Coturnix japonica: one gene and its partner. The protein of the gene in region 2 purifies or fractionates together with the protein of the main gene of each other region. This does not show direct contact. Links are inferred from orthologs where the notes say so. Each region holds a gene or a part of one and is shown on either strand. Other genes may lie near its edges.

Region 1 (3,649 bases), on a different chromosome or scaffold from region 2:
CTGCAAATGCTAATTAGTCTTCTCAGCACCTTGGCTAGATAAGGGATCCCTGTTCCTATCTTGCCGATAAGGAAACTAGCAGAACTTGTTTTAAATCATCTACTCCTTCACCCATAAAGATGATAGAGGCTGCAGCACCCACTCCTCCTCTGGCACCCCTGCACTGCCCTCCTGTTGCCTGGGGAGGTGCAGAGGGCCTCCCTTTATTTACCCTCTCCCAAAAGTGCACAAAAGCTTCTCTTCCTCTGATGCTCTGCAGAGCAGCTGTAAAGAGCAGGATGCCATCTCTGTCACCTTTGAGCTGCAGCAGGCTGGGAGCAGGCAACCAGCTGGGGCCTGTGCACTGGGACCAGGAGCCCTGCTCTGCTCCAGCCAAGTGATCTGTGCACAGCCAGGCTGCCAAGTGAGCTCTGCTATGGTTTTTTTTCAGCAGTGCCAGGTATGTTGGTGCTGTCAGAGCAGGCTGGTGCTCCCTACCTGTGAAAACCGGGCTGGCTGCAGGCTTGTGCTGTAGCATTTGGAAGCTATATTTAGTTGGTGACACCTGTGGGTGTTGAGTGGAAGATTTTTAGGGACTGTTTTGAAAGCGCTCTTTCTTCCTACGCTGCTTTAAGGAAGGGAAGTTTAAAAGCCTTGTGGCAAGCTTTGTGCTGTGGAGCCAGGATTCTCAATGAGATGCACGTGGAATGAATAAGACATGTGGGATTGCCACTGTTTGGTGGTTGGAGCAGTGCAGGCAGGCTGAGAAACTCCCGGGGGAAAAGGGGAAGGATCTGGGGGCATGGCTGAGAGTTTGGGCTCTCCCTGGGGTGAAATCCCCACGTGGGAGCCTTATGAAAGGGAGCTGGGGTGGGGGAGTGCAGATGGCTCCATTCTGCCATGTCTGGCTCTGCTTTATTGACACTTCAAAGTCTCCAGCTCAGAGCAAGGCTGGGCCAGCAGGATGAATCATAAGTTTTGAGGCAAGGAGGGGTACCGGTTTTGATCATCTAGGCAAAGTCAACCTGTCTTCTGCAGCAGATCAAAGCCAACTTTGAATGGAGTTAGGTAGGCTATTCATGGTGGTTCCCAGGGTGTCCCCACGCAGCCCATGCAATTCCTTGGGGCTCTTCTCTTCACCTTCCTTCCTACCCCAGTGTGGAAGGTTTTGTTTCCAGCAAAGTTGGAAGTGGGGTTAGTGCTGGAGGGGCTGCCTCAGTGGTGAGCCCAGCACGGCTGCTTGGCAATGCACAGCAGTTCTACTGAACTGTAGAGCCTACAGCAGCCAGCGTGCCCTGCAAGGCAGGTATTAAAGCCCTGCACCAAAATCTTGCAAGGCTGCAGAGGCTGAACCTTGTTCCAGCCTCAGGACCGGTGCAGCAGCCTGACCAAGTGTTGCTTTTCTGGCAGGGTCAGTTTTGACAGCTTTTTCCAGGCAGGGCTCAAGGTATTGAACCTTAAATTACCCTCAGAAGCACTCAGTTATTTAAATACTCTTGGCTGCAGTGGGGTTTAAGCCCTTCCTAGATCTGGCTCCATCTCTGTGTGTTCCTTCTTGTGAACTTGCTGCCCCTTGTTGGGATGCACCAGAGATCAAAGCAAGGCACGAGATGAGCAGTGTCCATGTGCTGCCGGCTGGGCCACGTGGGTACATGTCCACAGCCCTCTTCAGTATGGAGCTGGCTGTGTCAGCATGGGGAGCTGCCTCACCTCTTCAAGGGCATGTTTGTTTTGCTGTGAGTAACAGCAGATTGAGTTCTGTGCGGTGCCTCATGGAGCAAGCTGAACTCTTCTCCACCCTTCCTCCTTGACTGGCAAGGCCAAGAGCGGAGGGCTGAGCTAGGTGCCTTCATGCGGAGGGACAGAGTTCAGGACCCGTCTTCTTGGGGCATCAGTCACCTGTATTAATCCAGAGTGGCAGGTTTAAGTATGTGGCTTCACCCCATATCTGCACACAGTGCTGCATTAGGGCTCTCTGTTCAGTGTGCCTCCACTTAATCTTGATGGGCCTCTGTGAAACCCAGGTCCAAAGCTGGCTCTCTTCTGCTCACCTTTCCCTTGTAGGCTTGCTGTCATGAATGGGGAGGTGGCTTGCTTTCTGCTTCCCCAGCTATCAGCTGGATATAACAGTTTTATTCTCCTCCTTTTGCAGAAAACACAACTCCTGCTAAAGTGGTGAGGGCTGCCAACCCAAGACAGCGGAAGGGAAGCAAGGTAAGTCCATGCCTGCTGTGTCCCTCACTGGCCTCTAGCTTCTGATTCAGATATCAGTGCAGTGTTAGTGCCTTGAGGGTCTGCTGAGGAGACAGCTTCCTTTGCAAGTCTGATGGTGGAGGGATTGATGTACTGAACTGGCTGTCAGCAAAGAGCATGCAGGAACGTCCTCATTTTTCTTTCAAGCATTTTGACGTTTTCATGCTCTGGGGGCTGGTTCCTGCCCAGTTGGGCTGGGGGAGACCTGGTTCATCTCCCTGCCTGAAGGGGTCATTCACAAGATAGTGCTGGATGTTGAATGCTTGTATCTGCACGTTTCTTTCTTCCCTCTCCTTACTGTTCTTTACTAGTACACAGAGAGCAAGGGTAATTGACTTCATACAAAGCAACTTCTCAGGAACACCAGGGCAATCTGTTCCAGGGAATCTAACTGTGGTGGAGAGACAGTTGTTTCTGAAAATGTTGGATGCAGCTGGAGCACAGCTAGGAGTGTGGTTATTGGTGTTGGCTCCCAGCAGCCTCTGAAAACACATTTGAAACATGATATGACTTCCTTGTCTGTTCCATTTCAAGGAGGGGAGGGTTTTGGGTATGGAAGGTGCTTCTGTCTGTGAAACAGACATGGCTGTACACTGCAAGTGGCTTTCCCTGGAAATTTGCCTGCTAGGGAGAGAAGCGTGGCACCTGAGTGTAGAGACCTGATCTTATGGGCAACTTGGTGGCTACAAATTAACTTAGGAATAATAGTCCCCTCAAGGGTAAGGAGGAGCTTCTGTAACATTGTAAATTCATTCACCAAACATGATTCATTTTATGCCCAAGCAGCTGGTTTTTGGGTTCTTTCCTTGCATGCCTGCTCTGAAAGCTGGAGGAGATGGAAATGATTATAGTGGTCAGGTCACTTCTTGAGTGGAAGAGGTTGGTGGTCTTCCCATGTGGCAGCGGGATTTCTGGAACAGAGCTTGTATCACCACCACATAGGATAATGGCAGTGACAGTGTAGCTGGGAGGGCTTCTGTCTGCTGATCCAGAAAATGGCAACCATAATTTGTGCACTAATGGGACTTTTCTCTTTGTATACAAGGTTGGTGACTTTGGTGATGCTACAAATTGGCCAACACCAGGAGAAATAGCCCACAAGAGTGTCCAGGTGAGTAGACAAAATCCTCAGACACTGCATCTGGTTGAGCTGCAGTAATTTGCTTCCGCTGTAGTGTGCCCAGTGAGGCTGTGTGGTTGGCAGACAATTGCGTGCTCTGTTGCTCCTAGGTAACAGCCTTAGGGGCTAGCTTGGGTGAGCAGGCCCTTGCAGACCTCCCTGTTCTTCTGTGTCACTGGAAGCTATGGCTGAGCCAGGCCATTTGGGGTGCTGAGTGCCAGCGTGAGGGCAGCCAAGAATAGCATGCAGGGTGCAGGGGTTTGCCTTTTAGGGCTGCTATGCACATTGGGCTCCCTC
Region 2 (4,417 bases):
ATAATGACAAGACAATGGGGAATGGTTTTAAACTGAGACATGGGAGGTTTAGGTTAGATATTAGAAGGAAGTTTTTCACTCAGAGGGTGGTGATGCACTGAAAAGGGTTGTCCAGAGAGGTTGTGGATGCCCCGGTCCCTGGAGGCATTCAAGGCCAAGCTGGATGTGGCTCTGGGCAGCCTGGTCTAGTGGTTGGCAACCCTGCCCATGGCAGAGGGGGGTTGAAACTTGATGATCATTGTGGTCCTTCTCAACACAGGCCATTCTGTGATTTAATAATGAGATATGCTTCCTTCCCACAATTCTTAACAGAAATTTGAGAAAGAATAACACACAAAATATCATTATCATAGAATTACTAAATGGTTGAGGTTGGAAAGAAACTCACCAGACCATCGACAGCCCAAGCACTCCTCTCAAACTGCCCAATCATGATTCAAGTGTCCCCAAGAATAAATATTTCACAGCCTCTCTGCAATGTGTTCTAGGGTTTGATAACCCACACAGTAAAAGACTTTTTCATGTACTCAGACAAAATTTTACACCAGCTTTTACCTGTTACTTCTTAGCCTTTCACTCAATAATACTCAGAAGAATTTGAATCCATATTCTTTACTCCCTCTGTGCAAGCCTTCTCTCCTCCAGACTGAACAGACCCAGCTCTGTCAGACCCTCTTCTTATGAAAATGCTCAAATACCTTCAGCTCATGGCCCTATGTTGGATGTGAGTCTTCAGTAAACCTTCGTCTTCCTTGTACAGGGAGCCCACAGCTGAACGCAGCATTCCAGACACTGCCTCATGGGTGCTGAGTAGAGAGAAAGGATCATCTTCCTAGATCTGCTGGCAACATTCTTTCTAAGGTAGTTGGGGTTACTGTTGGTCATCTTTGCAGCAAGTCTTCATTTCTGGCTCATAGTCAGCTTATTGTCTATAGAAGTCTCTAAGACTCCCCTCTGCGGAGCTGCTTGACAGCCAACTGGCACCCAAAGAGTGTTGTTGCATGTTGCTATGTTTTTGTCTTTTTACATTTTTATCCAAATTCAATGCATCCACATTTTAAATGGAAGATGGAAGTTTTGGCCAGTCCATTTGAAGACTACACAGGAGAAATACTAAGTAGGGATAAGAAATACAACCTCACAAGTCTAAGAGTATCTACTACAGGATAATTTTTTCCTAAGGTCTAAATGCAATGAATTTTCACTTCCTGTTCACCTTTATAATATGTTCAGTACTTTATAGCACCTCCTGATACCTTTATTTTAATACCATGGCAGTTGAGAAAACAGAACTAGTTGCCATTGTGAAGGTAAAAGCACTAAGCTACATTCAAAAGCAACAGCAGCTACTCATGGGGAAGAAATCCATAATGACCATTAAATACTATAGCATCTAATCTGGGATATGCCTTCTAGATGCACAGGGCTGGAAACTGGAAAGATACATAAATGGAATCTATCAAGCTCTACACTCCAAGCCACATCACAGGCTATTTCACTTCCCACAAGGCCATGGGCCCATTTTTAAAATATCAAAAATGAACTCAGATTATTTTTCCCTCTTCACAGCCCGGGTGCTAAGAACAGAAAAGACTAAAGATAGTATCTGAAATGTAAAGTAACGATATTCTAAATCTGATTTAACTTCAGGGTGCTGTAAAAGCAGAGACTTGTATTTTCTTCTTCATCCCCGGCCATTCAAGTCCAGCACTCTGTACTTGACAAAAATTTAACAGCTACATTAACAATGAGAGGAGTGAGCTCATCAAGCGAGCCCCAAGCCATGCTGATTAACTGGAAAGTCTATTCAGAACAAGAGAAACAGAAGATGTGATGAAAGCAGTAAATACCATGAATGTCTCCAGGCACACAGAGTTTCTATTTAAATACCCAAGACACAACTGTATAAGAATTCTTGTAGTACTAAGTGCCCATAACACGCTATGGGTCATTAAATACTAGGTTGGAATATGCATCTTGAAGGGTCGATCCTCTTCCACAGCAACCACATCCAGCAAATTAAAAGTTAATCTGATCCTACACCTTAAAAACCACCATCGGAAACAAACAATTTCTTCTACTTGTGGCATTCAATCCCACCCCAGGTTGGGTTCCTAACCCTCCCCTCCCCCCCTCCACGTGCTCTGTTTTGTCACCCGTAGGGCACTGGAGAGAACGAGTACTCACCAGCAGCACGCACCTTAGTCATCTCTTCAACCCTTGCAAGGCTCTACACGGAAACACACCGAACACCACAATCTTATAAATGCCTGTGCAACAGGAGCGGGTCAGTAGCACCGCCCTCTGCAGAGTATAGCAAGCACGGGGCGCGAAGGGGGGATAATGGCGATCTCCGAGAAGCAGTAAGTTTTCCAGAATTCAAATGGCTTCTTTTTTTCCTTTCTTTTGATTTTTTTGAGTCCCGTTCGCTCGTCACATACTTGAAACTCACATGTTTCCTCCTGGCCAAAGTTTCCCCAGCCCATCCTGCGGCACACGCACAGCCCGGCCGCCTCCAGCACTGCGGACCCAACAACGCAGCGGTGCGGGCGGCACGTAACAACAGGTGGTGCCTCAGCCCGGACGCCCCAGACTGCCGGCATTCGGCTGCCAGCACCACAGCTCTGCCCTCTGCCCACCAACGTTACCGCAGAGCGATGCGCGTTCCTCCTTTCCCCGTCCAGCTCAGCACACCAGCCCTCTCCCCGGCTTCCCCCGAAGGCAATAACCGCACTCACCTGTATTGGGCCGCGCCTCCGCCATGCCAACGCTTCCCTCCCGCCCCCACCCCGAGGTCCAGCTTCCTGGCGGCCGCGCACGCGCCCCAGCGCCGCCAACTCCCCCTCGGCCGAGGGGAGCTGAGGACGCGCAGCCGCACTGAAGAGACGGGCACGAGCCGCCGGGAAGGGGGCGGTGCCAAGGGCTGAGGGGCGGGCAGGGGGCGAGTTCGAGGGCCGGGTCGGCTGGTCGTTCAGGTCCGCAGGGCAAAGCGGGCTGTAATTAACAGAAAAACGGGAGTTTTGAGGTTGAAAGCAAGGAAACGTGATAACAACAAAGAAATGCTACTGCTGGCGGTAAATTGGCTGCTTGCTTGGCGATGAGCTTCACAGCTGTGGCCCTTCCCTGTACCGTCTGTGTTTCAGAGTGTATTGGTCAAGCAGAAGGGAAGGAAAAGAATGGTCCTTTGCTTTGGGCTCGGTGCCCTAAAGAGGTGGGGTTTTTTGTTTTTTGGTTTTTTTTTTCCTATAAAGAAAGTATAAAGTAGGCATACAGCATCCAGCTGTCTACTGCGTCCTGCATGGAGGTGGCAGTGGCATGTACTTGCTGTCCCAAACGAGTGCTGGAACTTGAGCTTCTGTTGGAAAGCCTACAAGTGGATATTCACAATACAGTCCAAGCTGCAGACAGACCTTGTAATGCTCCAGCTACAATTACCCCGTAGAACTACGTGTTTTGTCATATTGCAGTGTTCAACACGAAGATAACTATTGTATGATTCACACCTCCCTGCAGAGGTTTACAGTGTCATGGTTACAGTACGTCTGCAGAGCAGCTCTATACTTTTACCACTGCAATGTAGCTAGCTACCGAGTCCTTACAGAGCTGCTGATCTTTTCAGATACTGAGTAACTTCAGAGTACCATAGCAACTGCAGCTCAGAAAAATGGCACCTCTGAGGAACATCGTCTGAGGTATAGCCTGCATTCCCTCTGAGGAATGTCGTCTGAGGTATAGTCTGCATTCCGTTCTCTGCAGCCCTACCATGAAATTCTCAGATCAAAGTTCCATTTGCAGAATAGTTCTTCCCATCCTAGTCTTCAAAGTTCATGGCTCCAAAGCTCTTAAAGGACATGTGGTCTTCTTTTGCAGAAACTCTAGTCACTGATATGCAGCCCAGACTCCTGCCACTGCTACAAAGGAAGCACACAAGTCACTACAGCAACAGCTTTATGAAGATGCTACTATGTGCTTGGATTACGAATACAATATGAAGTGTTTTGTTTTATGTAAGTATTTGTCTCACCTAAGCTGGCAAAGAAGAGCATACGGCAGCAGCAGGTTTAATGCATCCTTTCAGGGATAATGCATGGTCTTCCTACTGCTGACAAGAAACTTGAGGTAGACCTCTGACTCATGTTCTTCTCTGTCACTACTATACAGACATCACCGTAGCATTCACACAGAACTACTACATACCACTTTCCATACATGCTACAGCACTACCACTTCAGCATACATTCTTTGGTTACCATCAAAAAGTACAGTTGTGGTATGGATACAATAATTTGCACCTATGTGTGCTGCTGCAAAATGTCAGTTACTAAGTCAACACACATTTTCCTTGATTACATCTTTTTATCTCAACCGTTCTGTGTTGTTGTTTTCCTTAATTTTGCACTGGGCAAATTCCATTCAC

What was found. Proteins that work in one complex are often made in the same cells at the same time.
Region 1: the proteins of NFX1 (region 2) and LARP1 purify together in Homo sapiens (affinity purification with mass spectrometry, with the first as the bait; 3 studies listed by BioGRID). This does not show direct contact. The link is inferred for Coturnix japonica from reciprocal best matches to the Homo sapiens genes NFX1 and LARP1.

The regions. Positions count from the first base shown.
Region 1 is NC_029528.1:5,968,850-5,972,498, forward strand, and holds part of LARP1 (la-related protein 1), read left to right. Parts: intron 1-2,131; coding exon 2,132-2,193; intron 2,194-3,277; coding exon 3,278-3,343; intron 3,344-3,649. UniProt on the Homo sapiens protein: RNA-binding protein that regulates the translation of specific target mRNA species downstream of the mTORC1 complex, in function of growth signals and nutrient availability.
Region 2 is NC_029517.1:73,003,621-73,008,037, forward strand, and holds the start of NFX1 (transcriptional repressor NF-X1), read right to left. Parts: upstream 2,867-4,417; 5' UTR 2,764-2,866; coding exon 2,739-2,763; intron 2,231-2,738; exon of another isoform or gene 2,210-2,230; coding exon of another isoform or gene 2,188-2,209; intron 1-2,187. UniProt on the Homo sapiens protein: Binds to the X-box motif of MHC class II genes and represses their expression. May play an important role in regulating the duration of an inflammatory response by limiting the period in which MHC class II molecules are induced by interferon-gamma.